Linked DNA regions of Stegostoma tigrinum. The protein of the gene in region 2 purifies or fractionates together with the protein of the main gene of each other region. This does not show direct contact. Links are inferred from orthologs where the notes say so. Each region holds a gene or a part of one and is shown on either strand. Other genes may lie near its edges. The genes, in order: ncbp3, prpf40a and RNA-binding protein 25.

The links.
Region 1: the proteins of prpf40a (region 2) and ncbp3 purify together in Homo sapiens (affinity purification with mass spectrometry; 3 studies listed by BioGRID and IntAct, counting the BioPlex papers as one, with this or other methods). This does not show direct contact. The link is inferred for Stegostoma tigrinum from reciprocal best matches to the Homo sapiens genes PRPF40A and NCBP3.
Region 3: the proteins of prpf40a (region 2) and RNA-binding protein 25 purify together in Homo sapiens (affinity purification with mass spectrometry; 5 studies listed by BioGRID and IntAct, with this or other methods). This does not show direct contact. The link is inferred for Stegostoma tigrinum from reciprocal best matches to the Homo sapiens genes PRPF40A and RBM25.

What each region holds. Positions count from the first base shown.
Region 1 is NC_081380.1:46,786,499-46,797,214, forward strand, and holds the start of ncbp3 (nuclear cap-binding protein subunit 3), read left to right. Parts: upstream 1-6,391; 5' UTR 6,392-6,444; coding exon 6,445-6,612; intron 6,613-10,716. UniProt on the Homo sapiens protein: Associates with NCBP1/CBP80 to form an alternative cap-binding complex (CBC) which plays a key role in mRNA export. NCBP3 serves as adapter protein linking the capped RNAs (m7GpppG-capped RNA) to NCBP1/CBP80.
Region 2 is NC_081360.1:54,267,798-54,278,363, forward strand, and holds the start of prpf40a (pre-mRNA-processing factor 40 homolog A), read right to left. Parts: upstream 4,475-10,566; 5' UTR 4,373-4,474; coding exon 4,370-4,372; intron 1-4,369. Other genes in the region: arl6ip6 (ADP-ribosylation factor-like protein 6-interacting protein 6), read left to right, coding at 5,037-5,343, 5,444-5,497, 5,591-5,723.
Region 3 is NC_081363.1:88,979,617-88,989,973, reverse strand, and holds the start of RNA-binding protein 25, read right to left. Parts: upstream 3,773-10,357; 5' UTR 3,677-3,772; exon of another isoform or gene 3,675-3,676; intron 1-3,674. Other genes in the region: zfyve1 (zinc finger FYVE domain-containing protein 1), read left to right, coding at 3,773-4,243. UniProt on the Homo sapiens protein: RNA-binding protein that acts as a regulator of alternative pre-mRNA splicing. Involved in apoptotic cell death through the regulation of the apoptotic factor BCL2L1 isoform expression.

The DNA.
Region 1 (10,716 bases), on a different chromosome or scaffold from region 2:
GTGACCTATGTTTAGAGTCAGAGTTTCTCAGTTATAATTTAACCTTTACAGTGTGAGATTGTTTCGGCGTCAGCCCAAATACACTGAGCACCAGGAAATCACCAGGTTTTATTGGAATTGTGTGGAATCAGTCCAGTGTGGATTGGGAGTGGGTGCGGGAGCTGGATTGTGGGGAATGTGATTGTGTTTCGAGCAGCAATGGCTGATGGTGGAGCTGTCCACTGTGACAGGCCAAGGCTTTACGCAGCTGCTGTCAGTTGGGGGGACCCTGTTGAGATGCCCCCTGCTTAATGGATGGTTTCCAGCTCCTGCCCTTGGCACTGAGTGCAGGAGAGATTACTCTGCCCTGCGGGACCCTCTGTCGCTATCTGAGTTAATCACACTGTGTCATGTTCCAGCAAATGGCTGCACCACATCACCCTACAAACTCAACCCATTGAAACACCCTGAAAAACTGCTCCAATACACCCCAAACAGTCCCAAATACACCCCAAACACCCCCCAAATACACCCCAAACACTCCCCAATACACCCCAAACACTCCCCAAATACACCCCAAACACTCCCCAATACACTCCAAACACTCCCCCAATACACCCCAAACAGTCCCAAATAAACTCCAAACACTCCCCCAAATACACCCCAAACACTCCCCCAATACACCCCAAACACACCCCAATATACCCCAAACACTCCCCCAATACACCCCAAACACTCCCCCAATACACCCCAAACACTCCCCAAATACACCCCAAACACTCCCCAATACACCACAAACACTCCCCCAAACACTCCCCCAAATACACCCCAAACACTCCCCAATACACCCCAAACACTCCCCCACATACACCCCAAACACTCCCCCAATACACCCCAAACAGTCCCAAATAATCCCCAAACACTCCCCCAATACACCCCAAACACTCCCCCAATACACCCCAAACACTCCCCCAATACAACCCAAACACTCCCCAATACACCCCAAACACTCCCCCAAAAACACCCCAAACACTCCCCAAATACACCCCAAACAGTCCCAAATAAACCCCAAACACTCCCCCAATACACCCCAAACACTCCCCCAATACACCCCAAACACTCCCAAATAAACCCCAAACACTCCCCCAAATAAACCCCAAACACCCCCCCAAATACACCCCAAACACTCCCAAATACACCGCAAACACTCCCCCAAATACACCCCAAACACTCCCCCAATACACCCTAAACACTCCCCCAAATACACCCAAAACACTCCCTCAAATACACTCCAAACACTCCCCCAAATACACCCCCAATACTCCCCCAAATACACCCCAAACCCTCCTCCAATACACCCCAAACACTCCCCCAAATACACCCCAAACACTCCCCCAATACACCCTAAACACTCCCCCAAATACACCCAAAACACTCCCTCAAATACACTCCAAACACTCCCCCAAATACACCCCCAATACTCCCCCAAATACACCCCAAACCCTCCTCCAATACACCCCAAACACTCCCCAAATACACGCCAAACGCTCCCCAATACACCCCAAACACTCCCCCAAATACACCCCAAACACTCCCCCAATACACCCCAAACACTCCTGAAATACACCCCAAACACTCCCCAATACACCCCAAACACTCCCCCAAATACACCCCAAACACTCCCCAATACATCCCAAACACTCCCCCAATACACCCCACTCCCAAATAAACCCTAAGCACTCCCCCAAATACACTCCGAACACTGCCAAATATACCCTAAACAATCCCCCAAATATACCCTAAACACTCCTCCAGTACACCCCAAACACTCCCCCAATACACCCCAAACAGTCCCCCCAGTACACCCAAACACCTCGAATAAACCTTAAACACTCCCCCAAATATACCCCCAACAATCCCAAATAAACCCCAAACACTCCCCCAAATATACCCCAAACACTCCCGAATAAACCCCAAACACTCCCCCCAGTACACACCAAACACTCTCGAATAAACCTTAAACACTCCCCCAAATATACCCCAAACACTCCCAAATAAACCCTGAACACTCCCCCAAATATACCCTAAACACTCCCCCAGTACACCTCAAACACTCCCCCAATACACCCCAAACAGTCCCCCAATACACCCCACTCCCAAATAAACCCCAAACACTCCCCCCAGTACACCCAAACACTCTCGAATAAACCTTAAACACTCCCCCAAATACACCCCAAACACTCCCTAATAAACCCCACACACTCCCCCCAGTACACCCAAACACTCTCGAATAAACCTTAAACACTCCCCCAAATACACCCCAAACACTCCCCCAATTACACCCCAAACACTCCCCCAAATACACCCCAAACACCACCCCAATACACCCCAAACATTCCCACAATAAACCCCAAACATTCCCACAATAAACCCCAAACATTCCCCTGAACACATCCCACACACTCCACGAATACACCCGAAACATTCCCCCAGTACACCCCAAAAATTCCTAACAAAACCCCATGACAGGAGGTTTGAAGCCTCATGCCTCGATAACAGGCCATTACCCCTGCACAGGGTCAGTGCAGTCTCAGGCATCGTGGGTATGGCCTGTGCTGTAGGAATGTCCTTCTTACTCCACCAGGGTCAGCACCTCTACCTTCTCCCTGACACCTCACACTCACTCAATCTTGCTGTCAACCGAGTCTGGCCCCTGGCACCACTCACGCTGTATGCCCGCTGCACCGAAGACTCCACCTCTCACTGCGCCAGCAGTATAAGCCATCCAACACATCTCCCTTTATCGATGCCAGTCCCTCAGTCCAGACAGCCACGATCGGACACAGCCTGGACAGCTGTTTGGCTGTCTGGCCTGTATCCTGATCCTGACCCTGACCACCCCGGCTGGATGACCAAACATCTCTAAAGCCCTCAGCCTGGCACCAGAAGCTATCCAAGCCTTTACTGTGCCAGGGGCCCCTGAGCTGAAGGAGGTCTCTCGGGATGCAGCCGATAACCATCCCAGGCCTCCCAGCTTTGTGTCTGTGCTAAAGGTGAAGTCCTGTACAGGATGAAGTCAGGAATGCGATGGAATACTCCCCACGTTCCCTGGATTGGGGCAGCTCCAACAACACAGGGTGGCACGGTGGCTCAGTGGTTAGCACTGCAGCCTCACAACGCCAGGGACTCAGGTTCGATTCCAGCATCAGGCGACTGTCTGTGTGTGGAGTTTGCACATTCTCCCCGTGTCTGCGTGGTTTTCCTCCGGGTGCTCCGGTTTCCTCCAACAGCCCAAAGATGTGCAGGCTAGGTGGATTGGCCATGGGAAATTGCCCGTAGTGTTCAGGGGTGTGTGGGTTATAGGGGATGGGTCTGGGTGGGACGCTCTTCAAGGGGCAGTGTGGACTTGTTGGGCCGAAGGGCCTGTTTCCACACTGGAGGGAATCTAATCTAATCTAAAAACACTCAAGAAGCTTGGCACCCTCCAGGACAAAGCAACCGCTTGATTGGCCTCACACCCACAAACACCCACTCCCCCCGCCACCGACACTCAGTAGCAGCAGTGTGTACCATCCCTAAGATGTACTGCAGAAATTCACCAAAGATCCTCAGGCAGCATTTTGATTGATTTGTTATCATCACATGTACTGAGATACAGTGAAAAGTATTGTTTTGTATGCTCTGCAGGCATCAGGGTAGCCGTACAAGAGTGCAGGATAGTGTTACTGCCACAGGGAAAGTGCGGAGAGAGATCAATATCAATATTTCATAAGTCTTCTTCAAAAATCTGATAAAAGCAGGGAAGGAGCTGTTCTTCAATCTGTTGGTACACGTGTACAAACTTTTATGTCTTCTGCCCGACAGAAAAGGGTAGGAGGTATAACCGGGGTGAGATGACCTTTGTTTATGCCAGTTGCCTTCCCGAGGCAGTGAAAAGTATTGATGGAGTCCGTGGATGGGAGGCTGGTTTGCACCGTGGACTGTAGTTCCTGGTGGTTTCGGGAAGAGGAGTTGCCATACCAGATTGCATCCACTTAGGATGCTCAATGTGGTGCAGCAACGCAAACTGGTAAGGTGTCTTTATAGACGTGGTGAATTTCCCTAGCCTCCTCAGGAAGTACAGGCTTTGCTGTGCTTTCTTCACCAAAAAGCATCAACACGGATGGACCAGGACACACTGATGGAACTTGATGCTTTCAACCATATGCAAACAGAGGCATGCCCTCCACTCTGCTTCCTGAAGTCAATGACCAGCTCCTTTGTTTTGCAGACACTGATGTACAGAGTCTTGACTTTACACCACGCCATTAAACACTTTACCTCCTGCTTGTACTTCTTTGCATCACTGTTCCCAATTCCACCTATAATGGTGGCGTCATCGGCAAACTTATAAAAGGATTTGGTGTGGAATCTGGCCACACAAGTGTGTGTCTCAGTATAGTAGGGGGCTGAGTACACACCCTTACAGGGCAGCAGTTTTGAGGATGGTCAGCTCTGCTTACTAACTGCAGTCCGTTGGTCAGCAAGTTGAGAATCCAGTTACAGAGGGAAGAGCAGACACCTTGGACCTGGAGTTTGGAGAGGAGTTTGTTTGGAATTATGGTGTTGGAAGGCAGAGCTGTAATCAATAAGAAGCTTGTCCTGGGTATCCCTCCTTGTCCAAATGTTCCAGTATTCACAGTCTGCCTTGGAGAGTTGCACCAGTAGGCCATCTACAAGGGATCAAGATTACATGGGGGAGGCTAGAGGTAATTTAAGCTATGTCCAGCTTCATAATTACCAATGTCAGAGCACCAACCAGGAGTCATTGGGGCATGCTGCACCAGTTTTCTTTGGCACTGAGATGATGGCAGTCTTCTTAAAGCAGGTTGGGACTTCAGATCACAGTAGAGAGGTTGAAGATGTCTGTGAATACTCCTGACAGGATTCACACCATTCTGCTAGAATTTGGTTTTACCTCATAGAATCATCCAGTACAGAAGAGGCTCTTTGGCCCATCAAAAATTTGCTACAACCTATACTAGGCCTATAACTTTGAATGCAATGATATTTCAACTGCTCATTCATGTAGTTTTTAAAGGTTTGAACTTCCACCTCAACTACCCTCCCAAAGTGCTTTCCAGTCCCGCACCATCCTCTGGGTGAAAAGGTTTTCCTCAAATCACCTCAAAGCCCCTTGTGTGTAACTTTATAATTATGCATCCTCATTGTCGACCTTTCAACCCTACTTTCTATTCATTCAGAGATAGTAAAAACTGCCGATGCTGGAGTCAGTGAAAACACAGGTGGAGCTGGAGGAACACAGCAGGCCAGGCAGCATCAGAGGAGCAGGAAAGTTGACTTGAGATAATGGGAACTGTAGAAGGGTCCATGCCCAAAACGTCAGCTTTCCTGCTCCTAAGATGCTGCTTGGCCTGCTGTGTTCATCCAGCTCCACACCTTGTTATCTAAGAAAGTTGGTCTATTGGGTTGGGACCCTTCAAATGGGGCTCGAAATGTCAACTTTCCTGCTCTTCTGATGCTGCCTGGCCTGCTGTGTTCCTCTAGCTCCATGCTGCATTATATCTGCTTTCTATTCATTCTATTCACACCCCTCAATCTTATAGACCACCACCGAGTGCCCCCTTGACCTTCTGTGGCCAGCCTTATTACTGATTCAGCTCCACTGTCCTCAAGCAGAAGCCAATGTCCTTCTTTGTCAGGGTTCAATATTCAGGAAACTTGTCCAGCTCAATTCCATACCTTCCCACAATTGCAAACCTTCATGATCTTGAGAAAAATCTCATCATTTATAGATCTTTCGACAAGACTTTCAAAATGTATGACCATGACCAATCTAGAAGCTTAAGGGTAGGAGATGCATGGGAACACTACCGTCTGAAAGCTCGCCTCCAAGCTACTCACCATTTGTCTTGGATATATATCGCTGTTTCTTCACAGTTGTTGGGTCAAAATCCTGGAATTCACTCCCTAATAACATTGTGTGTTGTGTCAGCCCACAGCACATTGACGGCAGTCATTAAAAAAGGCAGCTCACCAGCACCATCTCAACGGGCAACTAGGGATGGGCAATAAATGCTGGGGCCAGCCAGCAATGCCCACATCCCACTAGACAATTCAGGAATAATGCCAGGTGGCTGAGGTTTTGGATGGCTTGAAAAGGGCACTAATCATGGGCAGTGAAAGTTTGGAGAGTGTTGGATTGGGAAACTGTCCTGATGGAAGCTTGGGTCAGGCTCAGTGCCAACTCATGGGGCAAAGGGTGGCACTTGATTGATTTGACATTCCAGCTGGAGGGGGCAGTTACTCTCCAGGCCGCAGGGAGGCGCTGCGATCCGCTCACTGCAAACTACGGCGAGCTGAGTAATCTCTTGCCGCGCGTTGCACTCCTCAGCATTGGATGGTACGCCGGCCGTGGCGGCAGGTGGCACCTCTTGCCTTTCCCTCGGCGACTCCTTGTTTGTCATGGCGGCGGTGCGGGGCCTGCGGGTCTGTTTGGAGCCTGGGCCTGGGGCAGAGGGGGCCGCCAGCACCGAGAGGGATGACGAGCCCATGGAGGTGGAGGAGGGGGAGATCGAGCCCGAGAGGCTGGACACCATCTCAGTGCGGAGGTCGCTCAAGGACCTGATCCCGGTGAGGAGAGGCCCAGGCCTCGGGCCCGGGTTTGGGGGGGGGGCGGGAATCACAAAGGCCTCGGAGAGGTTAGAGTGAGGAGGGAAGGACAGGGTCAGTGCTGAGGGAGCGGGCACTGTCGGAGGGTCAGTGCTGAGGGAGAGGGCACTGTCGGAGGGTCAGTGCTGAGGGAGCGGGCACTGTCGGAGGGTCAGTGCTGAGGGAGCGGGCACTGTTGGAGGGTCAGTGCTGAGGGAGTGGGCACTGTCGGAGGGTCAGTGCTGAGGGAGTGGGCACTGTCGGAGGGTCAGTGCTGAGGGAGTGGGCACTGTCGGAGGGTCAGTGCTGAGGGAGTGGGCACTGTCGGAGGGTCAGTGCTGAGGGAGCGGGCACTGTCGGAGGGTCAGTGCTGAGGGAGTGGGCACTGTCGGAGGGTCAGTGCTGAGGGAGCGGGCACTGTCGGAGGGTCAGTGCTGAGGGAGTGGGCACTGTCGGAGGGTCAGTGCTGAGGGAGTGGGCACTGTCGGAGGGTCAGTGCTGAGGGAGTGGGCACTGTCGGAGGGTCAGTGCTGAGGGAGTGGGCACTGTCGGAGGGTCAGTGCTGAGGGAGCGGGCACTGTCGGAGGGTCAGTGCTGAGGGAGCGGGCACTGTCGGAGGGTCAGTGCTGAGGGAGCGGGCACTGTCGGAGGGTCAGTGCTGAGGGAGTGGGCACTGTCGGAGGGTCAGTGCTGAGGGAGTGGGCACTGTCGGAGGGTCAGTGCTGAGGGAGCGCCTCACTGTCGGAGGGTCAGTGCTGAGGGAGTGGGCACTGTCGGGGGGTCAGTGCTGAGGGAGTGGGCACTGTCGGAGGGTCAGTGCTGAGGGAGTGGGCACTGTCGGAGGGTCAGTGCTGAGGGAGTGGGCACTGTCGGAGGGTCAGTGCTGAGGGAGTGGGCACTGTCGGACGGTCAGTGCTGAGGGAGTGGGCACTGTCGGAGGGTCAGTGCTGAGGGAGTGGGCACTGTCGGAGGGTCAGTGCTGAGGGAGTGGGCGCTGTCCCCTCCGAAGCCTCTGTTTTGACTGAGTGAGACAAATAATAACTTTTCCGGTGAAATTCTCAGTGGCCTCGCTCCGGATGAGCACTTTTTCTGGGGATTTTCGCACTGGCAGTTTGGGATGTGGATTTGTGGACACTCTGCGTATCGTGCGTTGCAACAGCAGCTTCACCCTCGCAATGAAATTGTGGAAATAGCTAATTTTACTCTGTTCTGTTGTCATGTTTTTATCTTCTGGTTTTGTAATGCTGATTGGCTGGGGCTGTGGTGGCTATCTGGGCATGAGCTGAGGCATTGGCTACTTTAAAATATGCCAAACTGAGCTCCTGTTTTGGGTGGAGATTGTTGAAAAGTGTTTAGTTTGGTAAGTGTAATGTTGTCTGGGTGCTGCTGGTGACTTTATGGTGTTGGTTCCCAAGCTGATGATCTCTCCATCAGAGGGACTTCAAATCATGTTTTGATCTGTTGACAACTCAGAAATCAAGGTTGATTAACTCCCACCAAGCACTGACCCCTTGTATCCCACACTGTCTGACCTGCATTGGCTCGTGTTCGAGCAGCAGTGCGTTTTCAAAATTTTCATCCTCCTTTGTGAACTCATCCGTGGCTTTGCCTCTCATCATCTGTACGATTTCCCTCAGCACCACACAGCTCCAAGATCTCTGCTCCTGCAGTTTTGGCCTCGACTGGGAACGTCCTGAGTTCAATCCCTCCCTCATTGGCTGCTGTACCTTCAGCTACCTGCGCTCTGAGCTCCGTAACTTTCTCCTTAAATCCCTCAGCTTCATTCTGTTCCTCTTTAAGATGCCTGTTAAAACTGCCTTTGACCACAGTTCTGACCTGCTATCTCTTTGTGGCTCAGTGTCATACTTGTATTTTGTAATGCTCATATGAAGTTCCTTGTGATGTTTTGGAGCAGTAACTGAAGGTAGATGTAAGTTATTGCTGATTACTGGGAATAGTTTAAAACTCTGTACTCATCTGCCAAGTTACAAGACACCTTGGTTTTATTACATCCAGCAACTTAAGACCATAAGACATAGAAGTGGAAGTAAAGCCATTCGGCCCATCAGGTCCACTCCGCCATTTAAATCATGGCTGATGGCCATTTCAACACCACTTCCCTGCACTCTCCCTGCAGCCCTTGATTCCTTTTGAGATCAAGAATTTGTCGATCTCTGCCTTGAAGGCATCCAATGTTCCGGCCTCCACTGCACTCTGTGGCAATGAATTCCACAAGGCCACCACTCTCTGGCTGAAGAAATGTCGTCTCATTTCAGTTTTAAATTTACCCCCTCTAATTTTAAGGCTGTGCCCATGGGTCCTAGTCTCCCCACCTACGGAAACAACTTCCTAGCGTCCACCCCTTCTAAGCCATACATTATCTTGTAAGTTTCTATTAGATCTCCCCTCAACCTTCTAAACTCTAATGAGTACAATCCCAGGATCCTTAGCCGTTCATCATTCGTTAAACCTACCATTCCAGGGATCATCCATGTGAATCTCCGCTGGACACGCTCCAGGGCTAGTATGTCCTTGTGTGTTAATGCTTTTAATGCTCATTGCCTTCTCCTTTGTATCCATACCCTGATTCCAGTTTACTCCCAGAGTTTCCCTAACAAACATGTAAAGAAATGAAAGATAAGCCAGTATAAAGCCAATTTTTGAACCTTCATATTTTTATATCCACTAGCGCTCCTTCATGTTCTTTTTGTAGACGGGGTTGTTAAGGGATTTAGAATGCTTACCTTTGCTCAGATCTTTGAGTCTCGGAGTTAGGATGTCATGATGAGGTTGTACAGGAAAATGGTGAGGCCTCTTCTGGAATGTTGTGCCCAGTTATGGGAAGGATGTTATTAAGCTAGAGAGATTTCAGTAAAGATTTACCAGGATTGTGCCTGGAATGCAGGATTTGAGGTTGTTAACTTGCTTGCCAAGCTGGCTAGCTTTTGTTCAGATGTTTTGTCACTGTGCTAGGTGTCATCATCAGTGAAGCCTCTGAAGAAGCGATGTTGTTCTACTCCACTCGGAATTTATACTGCCCGGTCCATTATGGTGAGAAGTGTTGTTTTTCCGGTTTGGATCTGCATGGGTTTGTATTTGGGTCCAATTCTGTTTGTTGATTGAAGTGTGGGCAGAGAACCATGCGTCTAGGAATTCCTGTGCATGTCTACATTTGGCTTCTATGGACTGCCCAAAGTACATAAAGCAGACATTCCCCTCAGGCCCACTGTCTCCCTACCAGGCACACCTTCACACAAACTGGCTGAGGACCTACAACAGAGGCTGAAACACCTGGTTGATAGATCACCTCATTCTATCCACTCAACCCAAAATTTCTTTGATACCCTCGAGAACATAAAAATCAGTGACAACGAGATTATTGGTAACCTTTGTCGTCACAGCTTTATTTACATCAATTGACATCCCACTAGCCAAAGAAACAGTGGCCATGCTACTAGAGGAAACCGCTACACAGACCAGCAGCTCCATCAGCAAGGACAACGCCCTTAAATTACCAGACCTCTGCCTCACCACACACCTCATCTTTAATGGTCACATATACAAACAGATTGACAATATGCCAATGGGGTCACCCATCTTGGGACTCTCACAGCGGCAGTCATACAAAGACTAGAACACACCACCCTCCCCCACATTCAACCGAAACTGTGGATCCAGTACGTAGACGGCACATTTGTCGTTATTAAATGCAACAAATTAGAAGAGACCCACCACCTCATCAACGGCGTATTTGCAGGGATTAAATTCACAAGGGGAGAAGAAACCAACAATTTCTGGATGTTAAGATGGAACGCCTGACAGATGGGCATTCCAACCCTCCGTATAAAGAAAAGCGACCCATACGGATCAAATCCTCAACTTCCACAGCAACCACCCCAGCATCCACAAACAAAGCTGCATTAGGATACTATATAATCGGGCCTGGACACACTGCAACGCTCCAGAACTGCACCAGGATGATGAAAAACACTTACACAGTATCCTCGTTTTAAATAGATATCCCTGCAACTTCATCCACAGATTCCTATTAAACAGACAACAACAGGAGGACACAGTATGCCATAA
Region 2 (10,566 bases):
CCAGATCTGAAATGCAAATCCAAATACATAGGGGGAGAAAACTGAAGATTACTGATTTTGTTGGGACTTCACTCAAGAAATAAAAAGACATGGAACCCACAAGACCTAACTAAATTCTCCAAAACTTCAGGAAAGGTTGGGGCATCATTAAGAGAAAATTAAACAAAGTGAACAAATTAATTATATAGGTAAGAATAAGTGAAGATATCCTGAAAAGAAAACACCCAAGAAAATCAAACATTGCATGTATTAACACTGATTAAAGCCAAATCATAACGGAAGTACTAGACCCAAGCTGACCAAAGGTTAAATACTGACAGTGAGCTGAACCAGTGTCAAAAATAACAGTTGAAGATAGTGAAAGTTAAAAAGCATTGCAGTGATTATCAAAACGAAGACAAGGACTACAAACTCCAAACATTCAAGAGAAAGCCTGGGTACATGTCCTCACGCAAATAAATGGGGAGAAGTCGTAAAATATTTATACAACTGATATTCAACTCTGGACAGGCTAAAAAAAAACAAACAACATTACTGAATTTCCAAAGTGTTATAAAATTATTTGTACTTATCTAAATGTTTCCAAACCGCACAAGTTGGGAGAGACAGCAAAAAGGCCTGTCAGGAGAAACCAACAATAGAAGAACCAAGCCAGGTCAGTGGTCAAACAGCTGGTAAAACGATGAAAATGTTACGCATTGTTACCTATTGCAAGGTAACTGTGGATCCAAGAAAAACAAGTCTGAATATTTTCTGCAAGTTGATAAACTAGGGACTGTGGAGGAGCAGCAATTTAAGAATCCAAATACTGTAATTGCAAGTATTAATACAGAATGGGCCTTCTGGAGGAGGCTGGAATGCAAGGCAAGTAAGTTATCGGTCAGTCTTTCGTTATAAAGGAAGCCCCAATACGAGAAATCAACTTAGCAAGTCACTTCTGAACTGCCTCCACTGTCGGTACATACTCCTTCAAGAGGGATCTTATGGCAGAGATGTAGTGCCCTTATCTCTAAGCCAGGAGGCCCAGGTTCAAGTCTCACCTGGTCGCCAAGTGTGTAACAACATCCCTAAACAGGTTGTTTAGAAAATATCTACACCCAATGCAAGAAATCAAAACTATTGCTGCTCTCCAAGTTTGGACTCACCATAGACCAGCACTGTTGTATTAAGACTTCCCTGCTTTCACACAACTCCCTCGCAAGAAGCATTAATATTCCATTTGCCTTTCGAATTACTTATAGGGCTTGCCTAACGTTTTCTGATTGATGGACAAGAGGACCCATGTCCTTACTTTGGGCATATAACTGCTGGCGATCTGGATAAGTGATTTCGTTAAAACATTTAAGATTCTAAAGGGACTCTATACTGAAGGGTAGATTTTGAAAAGATGTTTTCCCCTCTTGAGCAATATATAGCTGGAGGTCAGGATTTCTAAGTAAGTTCATTCCCATAAGACAGAGATGAGGATTATTTTTTATCCTGTACCAGAGGATTATGAATCCTTGGAATTCTCCATCCCAAGCAGCAGGGGCATTTGGCTATTTTAGGCTACGTTAGACAGGTTTTACACAAAGACGACAAAATTTGAAACTCTCCTCAAAGATTTTTGGCTGTTATAACAATTAGAGCTGAGCACTGGATATGGATTTCTATTTAATAAGGCTATAATGGGATATGCAGCAAGTGCTGAAATGCAGGCACAAATCTGAGGCTAACAGTGCTACCGTCTGCTCTTCAAGACATCCCAAAGTGCTTTATAGCCGATTAATAACAAGAAATGTAATCACGTTTTAATATAGAAAAATATGGCTGCCATTTTTCCCATAGCAAGGTCAAATTAACAGTAAAATTACAGCAATCAGATTTGTAGTGATGTTGTTGAAGAAATGAATGCTGGCCACGACATTGCTGTTCTTCAAACATTTCCACTGAAGTGTTTACATTCATTTGATGTGTCCAATAACGAATGCAGAGAATCAGAAGATTTTTGGGGCTTTGACAGTTACTACGAAGAAGTCACTGAGTAATTACAAACTAGCTAATGGGTTCCCAAAGCATTAATTTAGGTCATTCATTAATGTGGATAACTTCCTGTTATAACATGTTGAATCATCTCCACCACTGTACCAAGAAATCAAAAACAATATTATTATTTAAGAATGAACTGCATGTTGCAATGAGAAAATTTCAGATCTATTCTGATTGGATGGTTCACTAAATGGCCTTCCTGCTCTGTGTACCCTTGAAACAGACAGTGCATAAATGCACTCAGGAGCTTCATATTTGCACAGCCTGCCTTGCATTTATATACTTAAAAGAAATATTGACCGTGCACTGCAGCAAAATATTGGACAATATCTTAACAGTTCTGGTTGTTTCATTGGGCTGATTAATATAACTATCCAATATGCTGAGGTATGAACATTATGGCATCTTGCCTTTATGTAGCACGTGGGACATTACAAGCAATCTTAAGAACACACAGCAGGCTCAGATAAAAATGAACATCAAGCCAGAGGAAGATATGAGGACAAGAGATTAAACAGTTGGGTTTTGAAAGCAAGAGTGGCAAAGTGATTCACAGTGGGTAGCACTACTGCCTCACAGACCAGAGACCAATTCCACCCTCAGGCAACAACTGTGTGTGGAGTTTGCACACATTCTTTGTGTGTCTGTATCGGTTGCCCCGAATGCTCCGATTTTCTCCCAAGTCCAAAGATTTGCAGGTTAGGTGGATCGGCCATGCTAAATTACCCACAGCGGCCAAGGATGTACAGGGATGGGGTAAAGGGGTGGGTCTGAGTGGGATGTTCTTCAGCAGGTTAGTGTGGACTTGGTGGGCCAAATGGGGGTCTGCTTCAACACTGCGATGGATTAGCCATTGGAAATGCATCTTTTTTTAAAAAGTTCATACAAGGGATGGGGGCATCTCTGACCAGGCAGCATTAATTGCCCATCTAAAATTGCACAGAGGGCAGTTAAGTGTCAACTAAACTGCTGAGAGTCTGGAGACACATGTAGGGACAGACCTGGTAAGGATGCAAGTTTCCTTCCCAAAAGGACATCGGTGAACCAGATGGCTTTTTCCAACAAGTGAAAATAGATTCATGGTCATCATTAGACTCTTAATTCCAGATATTATTGAATTCAAATTCCACCATTTGCCATGGTGGGATTTGAACCCAGGTCTCCAGAACATTATCTGGGTTTCTGGATTAACAGTCCAGTGATAATACCACTAGGCCATCACCTCGCCTTACAGGGATGGGGTAAAGGGTTGAGTCTGAGAAGGATAATAAAATGTGAGGCTGGATGAACACAGCAGGCCAAGCAGCATCTCAGGAGCACATGGTCTGCTTCCACACTGCAGGGATTCTATGAAGTCTTCAAGGCACTGAAAAGGTGAAAAAGCAAAGACCTGTGGAGATAATTCCAAAGTGCTGAGTCCAGGCAGCTGAAAAAGTTGATGTCTATGCTCAGGCAAAGTAAGTGGACTGGCAACAGATAATCATAAACATTCATTTTTCAGGCCTATGTAATGTATCTACCTGCACATTTATGTACAATATTATGTTTTATGCAAATGTATGCCCCAATCATGTTTGTTCAGTACAACAGAATATAAGATGAAGTATGCCTGAAAATTATTTTGCATCAGCAAATCCAATAAAACCATATTCGACTTTTCATTCATTTCATCTTGACAGTAGGTTTATTTCTGCACTTTCAACAAATCAGAACAAATTACTTTTACAATATATTTAATGTGAATTTACCATTGAGCAATCGGGATAGAACAGACCAGTAGAGTTTCCTTTTTCATTATTCTAATATCACCTGGCTTTTTACTCATTTTGAGGGAAGGGCCGGGTACGCCATGTTGTTAAACTGTGTATTTTCATTTATTGCACGACGAACGGCTGGGAACAGATTTTGAATTTCCGCACAAAAATGTAACCCTGATCAACGTAAACCAACTGCGATTTTCACCCTCCCAGCCGATTCGTCCATTCATTCATAATTACACGGAACCGCTTTGATGTTTTTTTAAACTCGGAAGCGCCGCGCTACCCCTTTCCGCCAAGAGGAATGGACACAGCGAGCGATCGGTGAGGCTCCCCCGCGGCCTGCAAAACGCCCCGCCCGCTAACCATCAGGCCATCATCCAGCCGCCTCTCACAACACGCGCCCATCTTGCAGAGGTCGCTGTGCGGCCCAGTCACGGACAGAAAGCCCGGTCGCCGGCGGGGGCAGCAGCTGCCACTCGGGCCTCTCATGGAGCAGGGCTCGGATGAGGCGAACCTCTCCCTCATCGCGGACTCGGCTCCAGTAAAGGGGCGACTCTGTTCATTGCAGTTCCCCCACTCACCATGTTCTCGGCTCCGCTCTAGCGCGGCCCTCACGACCCGCAGTAACAGCGGCGCACGATTCGACTGGCTCAGCCCTGCAATGGGGCAAAGGTCAAAGGTGACAGGATCTGCGTCCCCGACGCGCACTACTGATTGACAGCGCTATTCACCTATCAGACGCAGAGAACTGTCTAACCCCGCCTCTCGAGCTGCTTCACCGTGTTATCAACCAACGAAGTGACGACTATAATCCAGACCCGCCCCTTCGTTCCGAGTGACAGCGCTGTTCGCCAGACAATGTAACAGTTCACCCCGCCTCTTCCCGCAGAATGATGGACAAGTAACCAATCAAGTGCTGGAAATATGTTCCACGCCCCTCGCTTTGAGTGACAGCACTTTTCACCTGTAGACTACGAGGAAAGGACGTTCGTCCCGCCCTTCACCCGGTGTCGGCATTATCACCAATCATGTGCCGCAAAGCGGAACGCCAGTCCCGCCCTCCCCACACTCTTCTTTTGATTGGATAAAGCAGGCGGCCGGGGGTGGGCTCTTTTCACGCTTTCGGTTGGTTCGACAGAGAGTTGGAGAGAGAGGCGGGAAGCAGGTTTCAGGTGGTGGTTCTCTTTCTGTGGGAGACGGAGCCGTGGCTCTGTACTGGTAGTTTTCGGCGGTAGTAGTTACTGCTCGATGCCGCGGTACTTGAAGCGGAGCGGGATGTCCGCTCTGCCCGAAGGCCTGTGGCCAGACGGTGGGGAGCTGATAGTCTGTGAATCGGACGTCGATTCGCCTGGCGTTCGTTCACAGACAGATTCCGCGAAGGAGGCCGTGGTCCTACCGAGTCACAGGACGAGGCCAAACCGGGCACTGGTGCCGACTGCCTATAGTGACTGCCGGAGTAAGAAGTGGCCGGCCCGGCTGTGCTCAATGCTGTGTTGTATCATCGTGATATCGTTCATTGCCTTTCTTCTAGCGGTTATGTACTTAATCCTCAAAGGTACTGATGTTCATCAGTTGATTTCTTGAGGAAGCTTTAAAACTTTGTTAAGCATTGAACTTTGAACTTTGGTTTAAAATAACCTGAATTACGATTGCAGATTTGCGCTGGGATAGAGAAAACAGTGAGGATGGTGTTAAAACCGGTATTTTAGGTAACGTATCCTTTTGAAGTTGGCACTTTGGTTTAAATGTACTAGCCCCTCCCCCTTTTTCTTGTCACTTTTTAACAACTTTCTTTTTTTCAGGCCTTTGGAGTGCGTTGATTTTGGCTTTGACGGCTGGTTTCTCATGTTGCAGTTTCTCATGGACATTGACGTATTTTGATTCATTCGAACCCGGAATGTTTCCACCGACACCCTTGTCACCTGCTCGATTTAGGTAAATTCTGGTTTCTGATATCAAATGGAGCTTTATATTTTCTTAAGGGTAAAATGTCCCAGATGTAAATAATATGCACATGAGACAGTTGAGGATAAATAGAGTCAGAACGTACTTGGTAATCTGAAAACCCTGGTAATTTTGCAGTTTTCCCACCCTCTCTGACCTAAGTGTTTGTTTGTCTCCTGTACACGTGTGTTTACTGAACTAGGTTGATATCATGTTTGATCCTGAACTCGGCTTTTCATTGTCTCAGTTTATATCAAGGCTATATATTGCTGTGTCTTAGACGGCTACGCTCGGCCTTGTCTTGTTCCATTCCCAACTTACTTCACACTCCTCAATTCACCATTTCCGGGCTGAATCCCCTACTTGCAAGTTACCCATGGACTTTCATTTGCAAAGTTGAATCCTCTCTCAAATTGAGACATCACCCTTATTGCATGCAATTGGCTACTTTCCCCCAAAATGTTGACTTGAAAGTTCTTGTCTATGTGTACAAATCTTTGTGTTCTTGACTTATTCTGACCCCAAGGATAGCTGTACATGCCAAACTTTATTGTCCTCCCCGTCCTCCCCCTCCTCCCCCTCCTCCTCCTGTCTTTGAACAGTTGTCTGGGACCAACTATCTTGGATTTCCTGAATGACTTCCTTTGATTCCTTTTATTTCTGTAGCTAAGCTTGCTTCTGTTTGTTGCAATAACTTGTAATATTTAATATTTTTAAGTCTTTTTTTCTGAAGTGCAGTTCACAATGTTGGATGTTTGAAATGTGGCACTGTGGGTAAACCATGTCAGTGCTTATCTACATGAGGATCCATGATTGATGCAAGAAATCTGTCAAATATTAATTTGATTTGCAAGTGCTAGTATCCTGATTGGTAACTCTGGAAAAAATAATTTGCTCCTCAAATAAAACCAAAATGCTGCAGATGTTGGAAACTTGAAATAAAAATGCCTTGGAGAAACCCAGTGGGTGTGGGAGCATCTGTGAAAAGAAAAAGCGAATGTTTCAGTCCAATATGGCTCTTCCTCCTATCTACATATATATTTGAATCTATTACTTGAACAGATCAGAAAATGTGATGAGTGCTTTCTGAGAGAAAATTAATATGCTGAATGTGTATCTGATTTAGTTAATATTTAAACTTTTTAAACTTATGTTCATCTTGATTACTCAATTTCTGGCATGGGGTACATCCAATTATGTTTTTTAAATAAAGTAAGGATGGTACCAGCTCTGTTTTAAAACAAAATAATGATCGTGATGCTAAAGCAAAGGAATCAACCTCACTACAGTTTAAAATGAATGAATACAATGCAGTAGTAATATGCAGAACATGTCATAGGTTCAGAGCATTAATTTAAGTAGAGATGTGGTGGATACCAATGGAGAGAGCAATATTACACGAGTGAAATAATTTCTTAAATCCTGAAATGTCAGGGGCATCTCAGAATTTTTTTACAAATCTGCAGTTTAGACAGCACAGACATTTTTTTTTTTTTGGTTTCCACTTGCTGTTGCCAGAAATCTCATAAGAATTGCTTTGCTCCAGTTCATGTGTGCAGCTCCAAAATTAAAATGGTTGAATAACAAGTGAAGTTACTGTTTTGTGTGTCTAGGGCACACACTGCCCTGCACTTGAGCCAAAAACAAGCTTCACCTGGAAAGACAAACTTACTCTCATTTTCATCGGAAATATGACCTAAATAGCACTGGTAGGTTGTGCTTCCAGGATCTTGTATGAAAGGGCATTCTACAGACAAATATCCACTTGCCTTTGCTTGTATTTTTTAAAAAAGACAAACTATTACCCTCACCTGTCCTGGCCCAAGTTTGTTATTTTGGTGTTCTTTAATATTTCTGTCAGGGACCCGGGTTCGATTCCAGCCTCGGGCAACTGAGTGGAGTTTGCACATTCTCTCCTGTGTTGATTTTTTTCTTCTCGGTTCTCTGGTTTCCTCCCATAATCCAAAAATGCACAAGTTAGGTGGATTGACCATGCTAAATTGCCCCACAGTGGCCAGGGATATGAAGGTTAGATGTGTTAGCCATGAGAAATATTGGGTGGGGAATGGGTCTGTATGTGATGCCTATCAGAAGATTGGTGTGGACTCTTTGGGCCGAACAGCCTATTTCCACACCGTAGAGACTCTATGATGATCTTAACTTGTCAATCAATTAAATTAGATAATCCTGATCAAAATATCTGTTTTGCCTCGATCAGATCTCCTCCAACTTTATTTTCCAATGAAAAGCTTTGCAAATCTGTTGTATAAGTAAATCTCTTCTGCATTGGTTTGCTATGCCTCTTCAAGGCCATAAGATGTAGGAACAGAATTAGGCCATTTGGACCATACAGTCTGTTCCACCGTTCAATCATGTTTGATATGTTTCTCAACACCATTCTCTTGCCTTCCTTTCTTAATCTTTCATGCCCTTGCTAATCAAGAACCTATCTATCTGTCTTAGACACTCAATGACTTGGCCTCCATGGCCCTCTCTGGCAATGACTTCCACATTAACCACCCTCTGGTTGAAGAAATTCCTTCTCCTTTTAGTCCCTTCATTCTGAGGTTATCATCTAATCTCTAGTTGTAGTACTAGTCTCTCCTAGTAGTAGAACCATCTTCTCCATGCCCACTCTATCCAGAGCCCTCATTATTCTGCAAGTTTCAATCAGATCCTACTCTTAGCTTTTTAAACTCCATTGATTACAGACCCAAAGTCCTCAACCACCCTGGGATCTCTGGATCATTTGTAATGCCAGCTCATCCACCCCTTAGATGTGGGGTCCAAACTGCTAAATATTCCAAAACAGCCTGAGCAGCATGTTTTTGCTATTCTATTCTTAACCCTTTTGAAATGAAGGTCAACATAGCATTTGTCTTCTAACTGCCAACTGAACCTGCATGTTAGTTTTGAGATAACAAGGTGCAGAGCTGGATGAACACAGCAGGCCGTGCAGCATCAGCAGAGCAGGAAAGCTGACATTTTGGGCCTATTTCTGAAGAAGATTTTCTGAAGAAGGGTCTGGGACTGAAATGTCAGCTTTCCTGCTCCTCTGATGCTCAGTTGTGTTCATCCAGCTCTGCACCTTGTTATCTTAGATTCTCCATCATCTGCAGTTCCTACTGTCTCTTAGTTTTGAGAATCCTGAATAAAATTCCCAAGTCCCTTTGTGCTTCAGATTTCAAAAACCTTTCCTGTTTGCAAAACGGTCTGCTCTGCTATTCCTACCAAAGTGACACTTTCCCACAATGTATTCCATCTGTCACTTTGCCCACTCTCCTAGACTGTCCAACTCCTTCAGGCTCCCTGCTCCTCCACCTAGCTTTGTGCCATCAGCAAACTTAGCAACAATGGCCCCAGTTCCTTCATCCAGATCAAGAATGCATAACGTGAATAGTTGTGGTACCACTGGAATACCATTAGTTGCTGGCTGTCATCCTGAGAAGACCTCTTCTCTCCACCTCCTGCCAGTATCTTGCCTTAACACCATTGGCTCGTAGCTTATTTAGCAGCTTCCTGTGTTGCACCTTGTCAAAGGCCCTCTGGAAATCCAAATAGATCGTATTTAGTGGTTTCTTTCATCTAACGTGCTGGTTATCTCAGGTTTTCAGCATCAAAAGAAACCCTTTGGTCCAATCTGTGCCAAACAGATATTCTAAACTGATCTAGTCCCATTTGCCCCATATCTCGAAACCGAAATCTATTCATATACCATTAGGATGCCTTTTAAACTTTGTATATGTACCTGCCTCCACCACCACCCCGGCAGCTCATTCCATGCTTGCGCCACCCTGTGCGTGAAAAGTTGCCCCTCAGGTTTCTTCTAAATTTTTTTCTCTTCATCTTAAACCTATGCCTACTAGTTTTGAACTCCCTCCACCCCCCCCGACCCCCAAGAAAAAACTTCTGCAATTCACCCTATCCATGCCCCTCATGATCTTATAAACCTGTAGAAGATCACCCATCAACCTCTGCTCCAAAGAATTGTAACAGATTTGTCAAGCATGACCTCCCTTTGAAGCTATGCTGACTCAGCCCTATTTTACAATGCACTTCCAAGTACTGTGTAATCTCATCATTAGTAATGGACTGTCAAATCTTTCTGATGACCAAGGTCAGGCTAACTGGTCCATGGTTTTCTGTCGTCTGTCTCTTCCACCACACGCACACCCTTACGTAAAGGTGTTACATTAGCTGTGTTTCACTCCTGTGGGACCTTCTCTGACGGCAGTGATTCCTTGAGATCCACACCATTGCTTTTATAATCACTACTAACTCCTTTAGAACTACGGTTTACATCATATATAACCATTTAACCAGTCCATCTGGTCTAGGTGTTGTATCCTCCTTCAGAATTTTCTGCTTCCAGAGCACCTTCTCCTTAATTGCCTACATTCATTTGGGACTCTTGATCCTGGCCGTAGAACAGTGCCTATTCTCCTGACGATGCTATGCCCAATTGCAACTATATTTTTCATTTCTGTCGCCTCTTGAATGACTCCCTATATCACGGTGCTTCGGTCAGTTTGGTAATCCTTCCTACAGCCTTCACTCTCATCCATAGAGGGAGCACGAATCTCAAACCTGTCAGACCAAGCCCAAGGGCGAGGCTCCTTCGACGCTACATCCTGTATTCTTCAACCTACCATGCTCATAGTCACATCCTACTGTCCCTGGCACCTACCAAATTTGTTAGTCTTAGTTCATCTAAGGGGTGTGAGAGGTGTGACTGCCTCCTGAAACACAGCATCCAGGAAACTACCCCCGCCCCCATCGTATACTTCTCAAGAAACCAACACCAGAAGTGGTCATTGAAATACAGTGGAGCTCT
Region 3 (10,357 bases), on a different chromosome or scaffold from region 2:
AGTCGTGAAGAAAATTAGACATTAAAGGGAGCCATCATTTCTTACATTAGTCCTGGAGGGATAGAATGGTACCTAAGTGCCCATTTTGATCCATGGGCAGGTGCAGCAGAGGGTGAATGGGAGGAGAAACTGAAGAACCTGGTCTCCAACCTGCCAAACAGCTGCTCTCCAACCGATGCAGAAAGTTGAGATCTTGAAGATGCATATCAATCCCAGGCTGTGTTATCACCTGATCCAAACAGCAATATCACAGAACACCTTTTGCAAACTTGATTACACAATCTGGAATGCAACTAAGCAGTTCCTACATCTCCTGCAACACACAGCTGATAACTTCTTATACTCTAAAATGGTGGGCTTGGCACGTCAAAACGTGAGGTGCAGATCCTGGCTGCAGTTATTCAGAAATGGAAAGTACTTGACAGGTCTTTTTTTAAGATTAGATTCCCTACAGTGTGGAAACAGGCCCTTTGGCCCAACAAGTCCACACCGTCCCTTGGAGCATCCCACCCAGACCCATCCACCTATAACCCACACACCCGTGAACACTACAGGCAATTTAGCACGGCCAATGCACCTAGCCTGAACATCTTCGAACTGTGGGAGGAAACCGGAGCACCTGGAGAAAACCCATGCAGACACAGGGAGACTCTGTTGCAAACCCTGCACAGACAGTTGCCCGAGGCTGGAATTGAACCTGGGTCCCTGGCGCTGTGAGGCTGCAGTGCTAACCACTGAACCACTGTGCCATCTGCTCTTATGTCAGTTCTGTGGGCAAAGTAACACTGAGGTCATGAAAGACCTGTGCAAGCTCAACAACCTGAAGAAACCAGATATCTTCCTACAGAAGACAAGGCACATAATGCCAGAAGCAGAAGTGTTCATGGATCACCTAGATTCCTAACAAGTACTAACAGCTGAAATGCCAGAGAGAAAGTACTTAAGAGTGGAGAGATGGGAATTCACTAAGTGACTCTAGAATCAGAAGCTACAAGAACAATAGGGATTCCAATACCTGGATCATCTGTACCCAATTTGGACTAGACAAACACAGGTCACAGACATAAGACATGGAAATTAGATTAAATTAGATTTCATTAGATTACATTCCCTACAGTGTGGAAACAGGTCCTTTGGCCCAACAAGTCCATACTGCCCCTTGAAGCATCACACCCAGACCCATCCCCCTATAACCCACACACCCTGAACACTACCAGCAATTGAGCGTGGCCAATCCACCTAGTCTGTGCATCTTTGGACTGTGGGATGAAACCAGAGCACCTGGAGGAAACCCCTGCAGACATGGGGAGAATGTGCAAATTCTGCACAGACAGTCGCCTGAGGCTGGAATTGAACCTGGGTCCCTGGTGCTGTAAGGCAGCAATGCAAACCACTGAGCCACTGTGCCACCCCAAATAGTCCATGCTCTTGGTCCAACTAGTCCACATTCAGGCCAAGCAGCATCTCAGGAGCACAAAAGCTGACGTTTAGGCCCGAAACATCAGCTTTTGCACTCCTAAGATGCTGCTTGGCCTGCTGTGTTCATCCAGCTCCACACTTTGTTATCTTAGATTCTCCAGCATCTGCAGTTCCCATTATCACTAGTCCACATTCACCATGTTCCCAAAAAATACCAGCCCCACTGGCCTCCATTTTGTCTATATCCTTCCAAACATTTCCTATTCATGTCCTTATCCAAATGTTTTTTAAATGCTGTAACTGTACCTTTATCCATCACTTCCTCTGGCAGTTTCTTCCACGCATGAACCACAGCGTAAAATATTTGGCCCCCATGTCCTTTTAAAATCTTTCCCTTGTCTCCTTAAAAATATGGCCCCGATTTTGACCTCCCCAATCTGGTCAAAAGACCCTTGCTATTCACCTTTTATATGGCCCTCATGATTTTACAAACCTCCATAAAGTCACCCCTCAAATCACCAATGGTCCAGCTAAAAAAGTCCGAGCCTATTTTTATAACTCAAACCCTCCATTCCTGGCAATATCCTGGTAAATCTTTCATGAACCCTCTCCAGTTTAATAAAATCCTTCCTATAACAGAAACATCAGAACCGCACACCGGACTACAGAAGACATGTCACTGATGTCCTGTATCATCCCAATACGACATCCCAAATTCTGTACTCAAAGGTCAAGCAATGAAGGCAAGCACGCTAAATGCCTTCTTAATCACCTGTCTACATGTGACACAAACTTCAAAGAATTATGCACCTGAACTCCAAGGTCTCTCTGTTCTCCAACATTACCCAAGTTCCTACCATTAATTTGCAAAGTCCTGCCCTTGATTATTTTACCAAAATGCAGTTATTCAAATTAAACTCCATCTGGCACCCCTCAACCCACTGACTCAATTGATCAAAGATGACCTCACACACTCAAAAATGGTCACAGATGTGAGGGTCCAACAGGAATGCACAAACATTTTTGGGAAAATATCCATTAATGAGAATGCAAGAATTAAATGCCACAATAAGATCCTGACAATGTTATGAGAACCAGGAAGTACCAACAGAAATTGAACTGAGGCTGAAGGACAACATGGGTCACTGTGGAAACCCAACTTTATTTTTAAAGGTACTTGACCGTGGCGGTTTTGTGACAGTTGATATAAAGATGACAACAAGAGATTGGAGAATGCATAGGTGGGAAATAGGCATAAGTATAAAAATCTTGGTCCAGAGATTAAGGAACTGACAAGGGGGTCTTAGCCTAAACACTGACTTTGTGATGGGTATACAGGGAAGTAGCTTGAGTTGAATAGTCTCATGCAGTTCCCAGTTATACAATGGTATAAGTCATTCACCCAAGAAATGTCAAGACTCACAATGATTCTGACACTTGAGCAGCTACATCGGAGTATGGTCGGCATGGACTGGCTGGACTGAAGGGTCTGTTTCCATGCTGTATGACTCTATGATGGATGAAAAGATGATGGAACTTCCCAGCTTTATGCCACAGTGCCAGAGCCTGGTGACAAGTTTCAGGACATGCAATTTCAGCACCACCCATGGCAGTAGTAAGAAAGGACAAAACCAAATTTAAAAAAAAATCTAAGAAAAATTAAGTAATGGTGATGGGTAACAATGACAATGAATCAGGCCTTTGTGCTGTAAGTAATTGCAATGGGTTTGGTAATTTTCAACGAGATGTACAACAAATGATATTAATGTCCTTGGGCAACTAGCCCAAACAGCACTCAGCTCCACATTCCAAATTGGCGAATCTCTTTGCCCTCCTCAGTTGGTCCAAGCACACCCTTCTGCCTGTGGAAGCAGTGACTAGGGGATGTCGATTTAAAGTGACTGGGAGATAAAGTATATTCAAGTCCTCTCTACTCTATTTCGCCAGAGCGTGTAAGGGGTCTGGAGCTCACGGCCTGTAAAGTTGCATAAAGGCAGAAACCCTCCATTTATTGAAAAGGTCTCTAGATATGCACCTCAGACGTAGAAAATCTGCAGGTTATGCAAGTTCAGCCGTGTGGTTTAGTGTGGACCAAGAGGGTTTTTTTTGCAAACAATCACATTCATCTCCTTGGACAACAACATTGATTATTAAATTGCATCAAATTTCTCACTTGGGTCATTCAATCCGCATCAAGCCGAGCCCGAACGCATGTGAAGACGCCGAAGAGAGCCGAACCCGAACGCACGTGACCTACCGAAAGGAGCCGGGCCCGGGCCGACTGACGATTGACAGGGGCCTGTTTCGTTGTCTCGGCTTGGGTGTCGGTGCCTGGTTAAAAAGAGGGAGGACGATGAGCGGTGCCGGGGCTTCGGGTTTGAGTGCCGGGCCTGATCAGTTGCTCCGTTGTCAGGAGAGTTACGCGTGTAGCGCCTCGGAGGCGGCCTTCGAGTGTGATGAATGCGGCAGCCTACAGTGTGCGGTGTGTGAGCGACAGCTGCACAACCAGCCCCGACTCAGGGATCATGAAAGGAGCCGCCTGAAACCCGGACACCTCCCGTTCTGTGACCAGTGCAACGGCAACAAACCGAGCGGTGGCCGGCGTCGGGCCTGCTGTCGCTGCCTGGCCTGCAAGGTCAACGTGTGCGCCGAGTGCCACCGCCGAGGCCACTCGAACCGCCGCAAGCATCCAGTCAATAACTACCCGCAGCCAGAGGTCGAGGCTGGACTCGGGGAGGACCAGAAAGAGCACCGAGAACTCGATAAACTGAGGAGCCAAACTGCCAGCAGCTTTCTCCTGGTGGATGAGCAGGAAATGATCCAGGTGAAGGAAGCCTTTAATAACGGGGCGGAACGGCCACGGGGGGCAGTGGGAACATTTCGGATAAGGCAATAACTAGAATTCAGTGCCCTTGGTTGGCAAGGAGGCGGAGTATAAAGGCAGGGAAGTCATCCGTGAGACTACTGAGAAGGACCCCCTTATTTTTGGAAGGAAAGGATAATAGAAATCAACAGTGCAGAAAAAGACCCCTTTGGCCCATCATGTCCACGCCAGTCTAAATACTTAAAGGTTAGAACATAGAACATTACAGCGTGGTATAGGTCCTTCGGAGTGGACTCAATGGGCCGAATGGCCTTACTTCTACTCCCATGTCTTATGGTCTTATGGCCCTTGATTTTTGCACCAACTGTGAAACCAATCTGAAGCCCTACACTATTCCATTATCATCCATATGTTTATCCAATGACCACTTAACTGCCCTGAAAGTTGGCCAGTCTGCTACTATTGCAGGCAGGGCATTCCACGCTCTTACTACCCTCTGAGTAAAGAACCTACCTATGGCATCTGTCCTATATCTATCCCCCCCTCAATTTCAAGCTATGTCCCCTCGTGCTAGCAATCACCATCTGAAGAAAAAGCCTCTCACTGTCCACCCTATCTAATCCTCTGATCATCTTGTATGTCTATGAAGTAACCTCCACCTTCTTTTCTCTAACGAAAACAGCCTCAAGTCCCTCAGCCTTTCCTCGTTAGACCTTCTCTCCATACCAGACAACATCCTGATAAATCTCCTCTGCTTCCCTTTCCAATGCTTCCACATCCTTCCTATAATGCGGCGACCAGAACGGTAAGCAATAATCCCAGTGCAGCCCCACCAGAGCCTTGTACAGCTGCAACATGACCTCGTGGCTCTGAAACTTAATCCCTCTACCACTAAAGCCTAACACACCATACACCTTCCTAACAACCCTATCAACCTGGGTGGCAACTTTCAGGGATCTCTGCACATGGACACTGAGATCTGTCTGCTCATCCACACTGCCAAGAATCTTACTATTAGCCCAGTACTCTGTCTTCCTGTTACTCCATCCACAGTGAATCACCGCATGCTTTTCCGCATGAAACTCCATTTGCCACCTCTCAGCCCAGCTCTGCGGCTTAACTATGTCTGTCCGTAACCTGCAACATTCTTCTGCACTATCCACAACTCCACCGACCTAAGTGTGTTATTCGCAAATTTACTAACCCATCCTTCTACGCCCTCTTCCAGGTCATTGAGAAAAATGACAAACAGCAGTGGCCCCAAAACAGATTCTGTGTACACCACTAGCAACTGAACTCCAGGATGAACATTTCCCATCAACTACCATCCTCTGTCTTCTTACAGCTAGCCAATTTCTGATCCAAACCGCTAAATCACCCTCAATCCTAAGCCTCCGTATTTTCTGCAATAGCTTAATGTGGGGAACCTTATCAAACGCTTTACTGAAATCCATATATACCACATCAACCGTTTTACCCTCATCTACCTGTTTAGCCATTCAAAGAACTCAATAAGGTTTGTGAGACACGACCTACCCTTCACAAAACAGTGTTGACTATCTCTAATCAAATTATTCCTTTGGGGATGATTATAAATCCTATCTATTAGAATCCTTTCCAACACTTTACCCACAACCAAAGTAAGGCTCGCTGGTCTATAATTACCAGGGTTGTCTCTACTCCCTTCTCGAACAAGGAGACAACATTTGCTATCCTCCAGTCTTCTGGCACTATCCCTGTAGACAATGCCAACATAAAGATCAAAGCCAAAAGCTCTGCAATCTCCTCCGTAGCTTCCCAGAGAATCCTAGGGTAAATCCCATCTGGCCCAGTGGACTTATCTATTTTCACACTTTCCAGAATTGCTAACACCTCCTCCTTATGAACCTCAATCCTGTCTAGTTTAATAGCCTGTACCTCAGTATTCTCTTTAACAACATTGTCTTTTTCCTGTGTGAATACTGATGAAAAATATTCATTTAGTGCCTCCTAATTCCTCGGACTCCATGCACAAGCTCCTACAACTGTCCTTGACTGGTCCTAATCCTACTGTAACCATTCTTTTATTCCTCACATACCCTGAAGAAAGCTTTAGGGTTTTCCTTGATCAAACCTGCCAAAGACTTTTCATTTCCCCTCCAGCCTCTTATTAGCTCTCTCTAGACCCTTCTGGCTAACTTGAACTCTCAAGCACCCTAACTGACCCTTCACGCCTCAACTTTACATGAGCCGCCTTCTTCCTCTTGACAAGAGATTCAACTTTTGTAAACCACGGTTCCCTCGCCCGACCACTTCCTGCCTGACAGGTACATACTTATCAAGCACATGCAGGAGCTGCCCCTTGAACAAGCTCCACATTTCAATTGTGCCCAGCCCCTGCAGATTACTTCCCCATCCGATGCAACCTAAATCTTGCCTAATCACCTTGTCATTGCCTTTTCCTCCTGCTATAACTCTTGCCCTGCGGTATACACCTGTCCCTTTCCATCGCTAAAGTAAACGTAACCGAATTGTGGTCACTTCCACCAAAGTGCTCACCTACTCCCAAACCCAGTGTGGCTTGGTTCATTACCTAGTACCAAATCCAATATGTCCTCACCTCTTGTTGGCCTATCTACATACTGTCAGGAAACCCTCCTGCACACAGTGGACAAAAACTGACCTGTCTAAAGCACTCGAACTATAGCACTTCCAGTCAATATTTGGAAAGTTAAAGCCCCGCATAACAACTACCTTGTTACTTTATCTTCTATTCAGAATCATCTTTGCAATCCTTTCCTTTACATCTCTGGAATTTTTCGGAGGCCTATAGAAAACTCCCAACAGGGTCCTCCTTTCTTGTTTCTAACCTCAGCTCATACTACCTTGGCAGACGAGTCCTCATCAAACCTCACTGCAATACTGTCCTTGACTAACAGTGCCACACCTCCCCCTCTCTTACCACCTTCCCTGACCTTACTGAAACATCTCAACTCTGGAACCTGCAGCAACCATTCCTATCCCTGCTTTTTCTGTGTCTCCAAAATGGCCACAACATCTCAATCCCAGGTACCAACCCATGCTGCAAGTTCACCCCCCTTATTCCGGATGCTCCTGGCGTTGAAGTAGACACACTTCAAACCGCCATCCTGCCTGCTGGTACACACATGCGACCTTGCAACCTTATTCATGACCTCAATACTCTCACCGGAGCTACAATTCAGGTTCCCATCCCCCTGCTGAATTAGGTTAAACCCTCCCAAAAACATTAGCAAATTTTCCCCTCAGGATATTGGTACCCCTCTGGTTCAGGTGTAGACCATCCCATTTGTAATGCCCCACCTACTCCAGAATGAGCCCCAATGTTATCCGGGATTCTGCCTCTACCACCCTGTCAGGTAGTGAGTTCCAGATTCAACCACCCTCTGAGTGGGAAAAAAACATTTTCCTCACGTCTCCTCTAAACTTTCTGCCCCAACCTTAAATCTATGCGGTCGTTGACTCCTTCATCAAAGGGAAAAGTTTCTTCCTGTCTGCCTTATTTCTGTTCTGCACAATTTTGTTCATTTCAATCATGTCTCCTCTTACTTTCCACTGCTCAATGGAAAACAATCCTAGTATGTCCAATGTCACTATGTAACGGATACCCAGACATTTCTGAGGCTCGAGAGTAATTCTCCTGTGTTATCGCATTACTCCTATAATGTGGATTCCAGAACTACACCAACACTACCCTATCCAACATTTTTAATGATTCGATTAACCTTCCTGCTTTTAAATTCTATTCCTTGTCCAATAAAGACAGGTATCCCATATACCTTCTTAACCCCTTTATCCACCTGCCTCGATACCCTAAAGGCTAGTGTAGATGCACACCAAGTCCTCAGTGATCCTCACTGCTTCCTAGGGTGCTACCATTTATGATGTATTTCCTTGCCTTGTTTGTCCTCCCCAAATGTATTACCTCACAGTTATCTGGAGCAAACTCCAAATTGTCATGGATAAACCACCTATATCGTCTTGCGATATCAAGGAGGATAGGCTTCATCAGAGCTCTGATGAAGAGTCATCTAGACTCGCAACGTTAGCCTGCTCTCTCACCAGGATGTTGCAGAACCCGCTGTGATTTCCACCATTTTTTGTTGCCTTGATTTGTAGAGGATTGGGCTCATGGCTGACATGATGTTAATCCAGGGGTAAGGCAGTGGTTATCTGTGAATGATGTAGTGTTTTGCACATGTCCAGGACAAATGCTGAGCTTAGCTTTCAGGACAGTCAATAACATTAAAATGGAGAGACAGGGATATCACAGTGGCTGGAACTCTAAAGTTCGTGAACAGTGCCTTAAAACAATAAGCTGAGTGATGGGGCCCTACAATGTTCTTGTAGCACAGTTGACTATGCAAGGCAAAAGCTTATTATTTGGTCTTGTATGAGACCATGGCAAACCTCAATGGGACAATGGTTGTTCTCCTATTATGTGATTGTTGCATTCTTGTGTGACCTCATACTGTAGAAAATCACCATAGAAAATGTTATACCCGTGCAGCAGAAAGTTTGCATTATCCAAATAGAGTCCATTATTCATCAATTGCATTACCACAGAGCTACAACTGTGCTGTTTTATTTTCCTTGTAGGTATTAATTTTAGAGTTTTGCAAGGATACCAAGGAGGTTTACCAGATACACGTGCAGTTTAAAGCATCTTTGAGCCTATAAAAGAAATAGAACCAAAACCCCTCATTTCAAACTTCCCAATTATGTAGATGTAGAACAGAGGCCACCAGATTGTTATGGATTGTTTTGACTGTTTAGACCAGGTGTCACATTTGTCTAAGACTAGCTTTAGATTTTTGTCAGTGGGTGGGCCTTTTAGCCAAAACAATAGGTCTTTGGGCTGCAGACTGCACCATTAGAGAGCTCACCACCATCCTCTTGAGGGCAGTTCAGAATGAGCAACAAATATTGATCCTGCCCACTCCTAATGAAATAATTTAAAGGAAGGAACAAGCTTGTGCAGTGGATGTGGATTTGCCAGCTTTGTTAATGGGAAGTTTTTCTGACTTATGCAGTTTACACCATAATTGACAGAGACTTTAATATGAGAGAATCCAGACCAGAGTGATCACCCAGAATGGAGAGGAATTTCAATTAATAAAGTTCCCAAAGTTCTTTGCTTATAAGACAATCCCTCTACAACGGGGATAATCTTTATGAATTTTCTCTGAACTGCCTGTAATAAAATTACTGCCTTTTTCTAAATAAGGGGACCAAAATTGTCAACACTTCTCCATATGCGGTCTCTCCAGCATCTTGCACCTTGAAGCAGGAAGCCTTCTCCACTCTTAAGGGCCAGCGTTCCAATGTCTTCTGTTACTTGCTGAACATCTGTGCTATCTGTCTATGTTTTAAGCATGAGGATCCCCAAGTCTCTTTAGTTTTCTGCAGTTTATTGTCTCCATCTAAATAATATTCTGTTCTTTTGTTCTACCTTCCAAATGGACAACTTCAGATTTTTCTAAATTTTCCCACATTATTTTCCATTTGCCAATTTTTTTGCCCACTTACTTAACCTATCTCTGTGTAAACTGTTGGTGTCCATCTCACAACTTGCATTTCCAACTCTTTGTGTGAGCTACAAATTTGGCTGCAGTACATTCGATCCTTATTCAAAGTCATTAATATATATTGTAAACAGTTGCAGAGCCACCACCCATCCCTATGGAACTTCTTTGATTACAGTTGCCTGTCTGAAAAAGAATCCCTTATCCCCATTATAATAAAATGTGAGGCTGGATGAACACAGCAGGCCAAGCAGCATCTCAGGAGCACAAAAGCTGACGTTTCGGGCCTAGACCCTTCATCAGAGAGGGGGATGGGGAGAGGGAGCTGGAATAAATAGGGAGAGAGGGGGAGGCGGACCGAAGATGGAGAGAAAAGAAGATAAGTAGGGAGGGGATAGGTCAGTCCAGGGAAGACGGACAGGTCAAGGAGGTGGGATGAGGTTAGTAGGTAGATGGGGGTGCGGCTTGGGGTGGGAGGAAGGGATGGGTGAGAGGAAGAACCGGTTAGGGAGGCAGAGACAGGTTGGAGTGGTTTTGGGATGCAGTGCGTGGGGGGTGGGGGGGGGAGAGC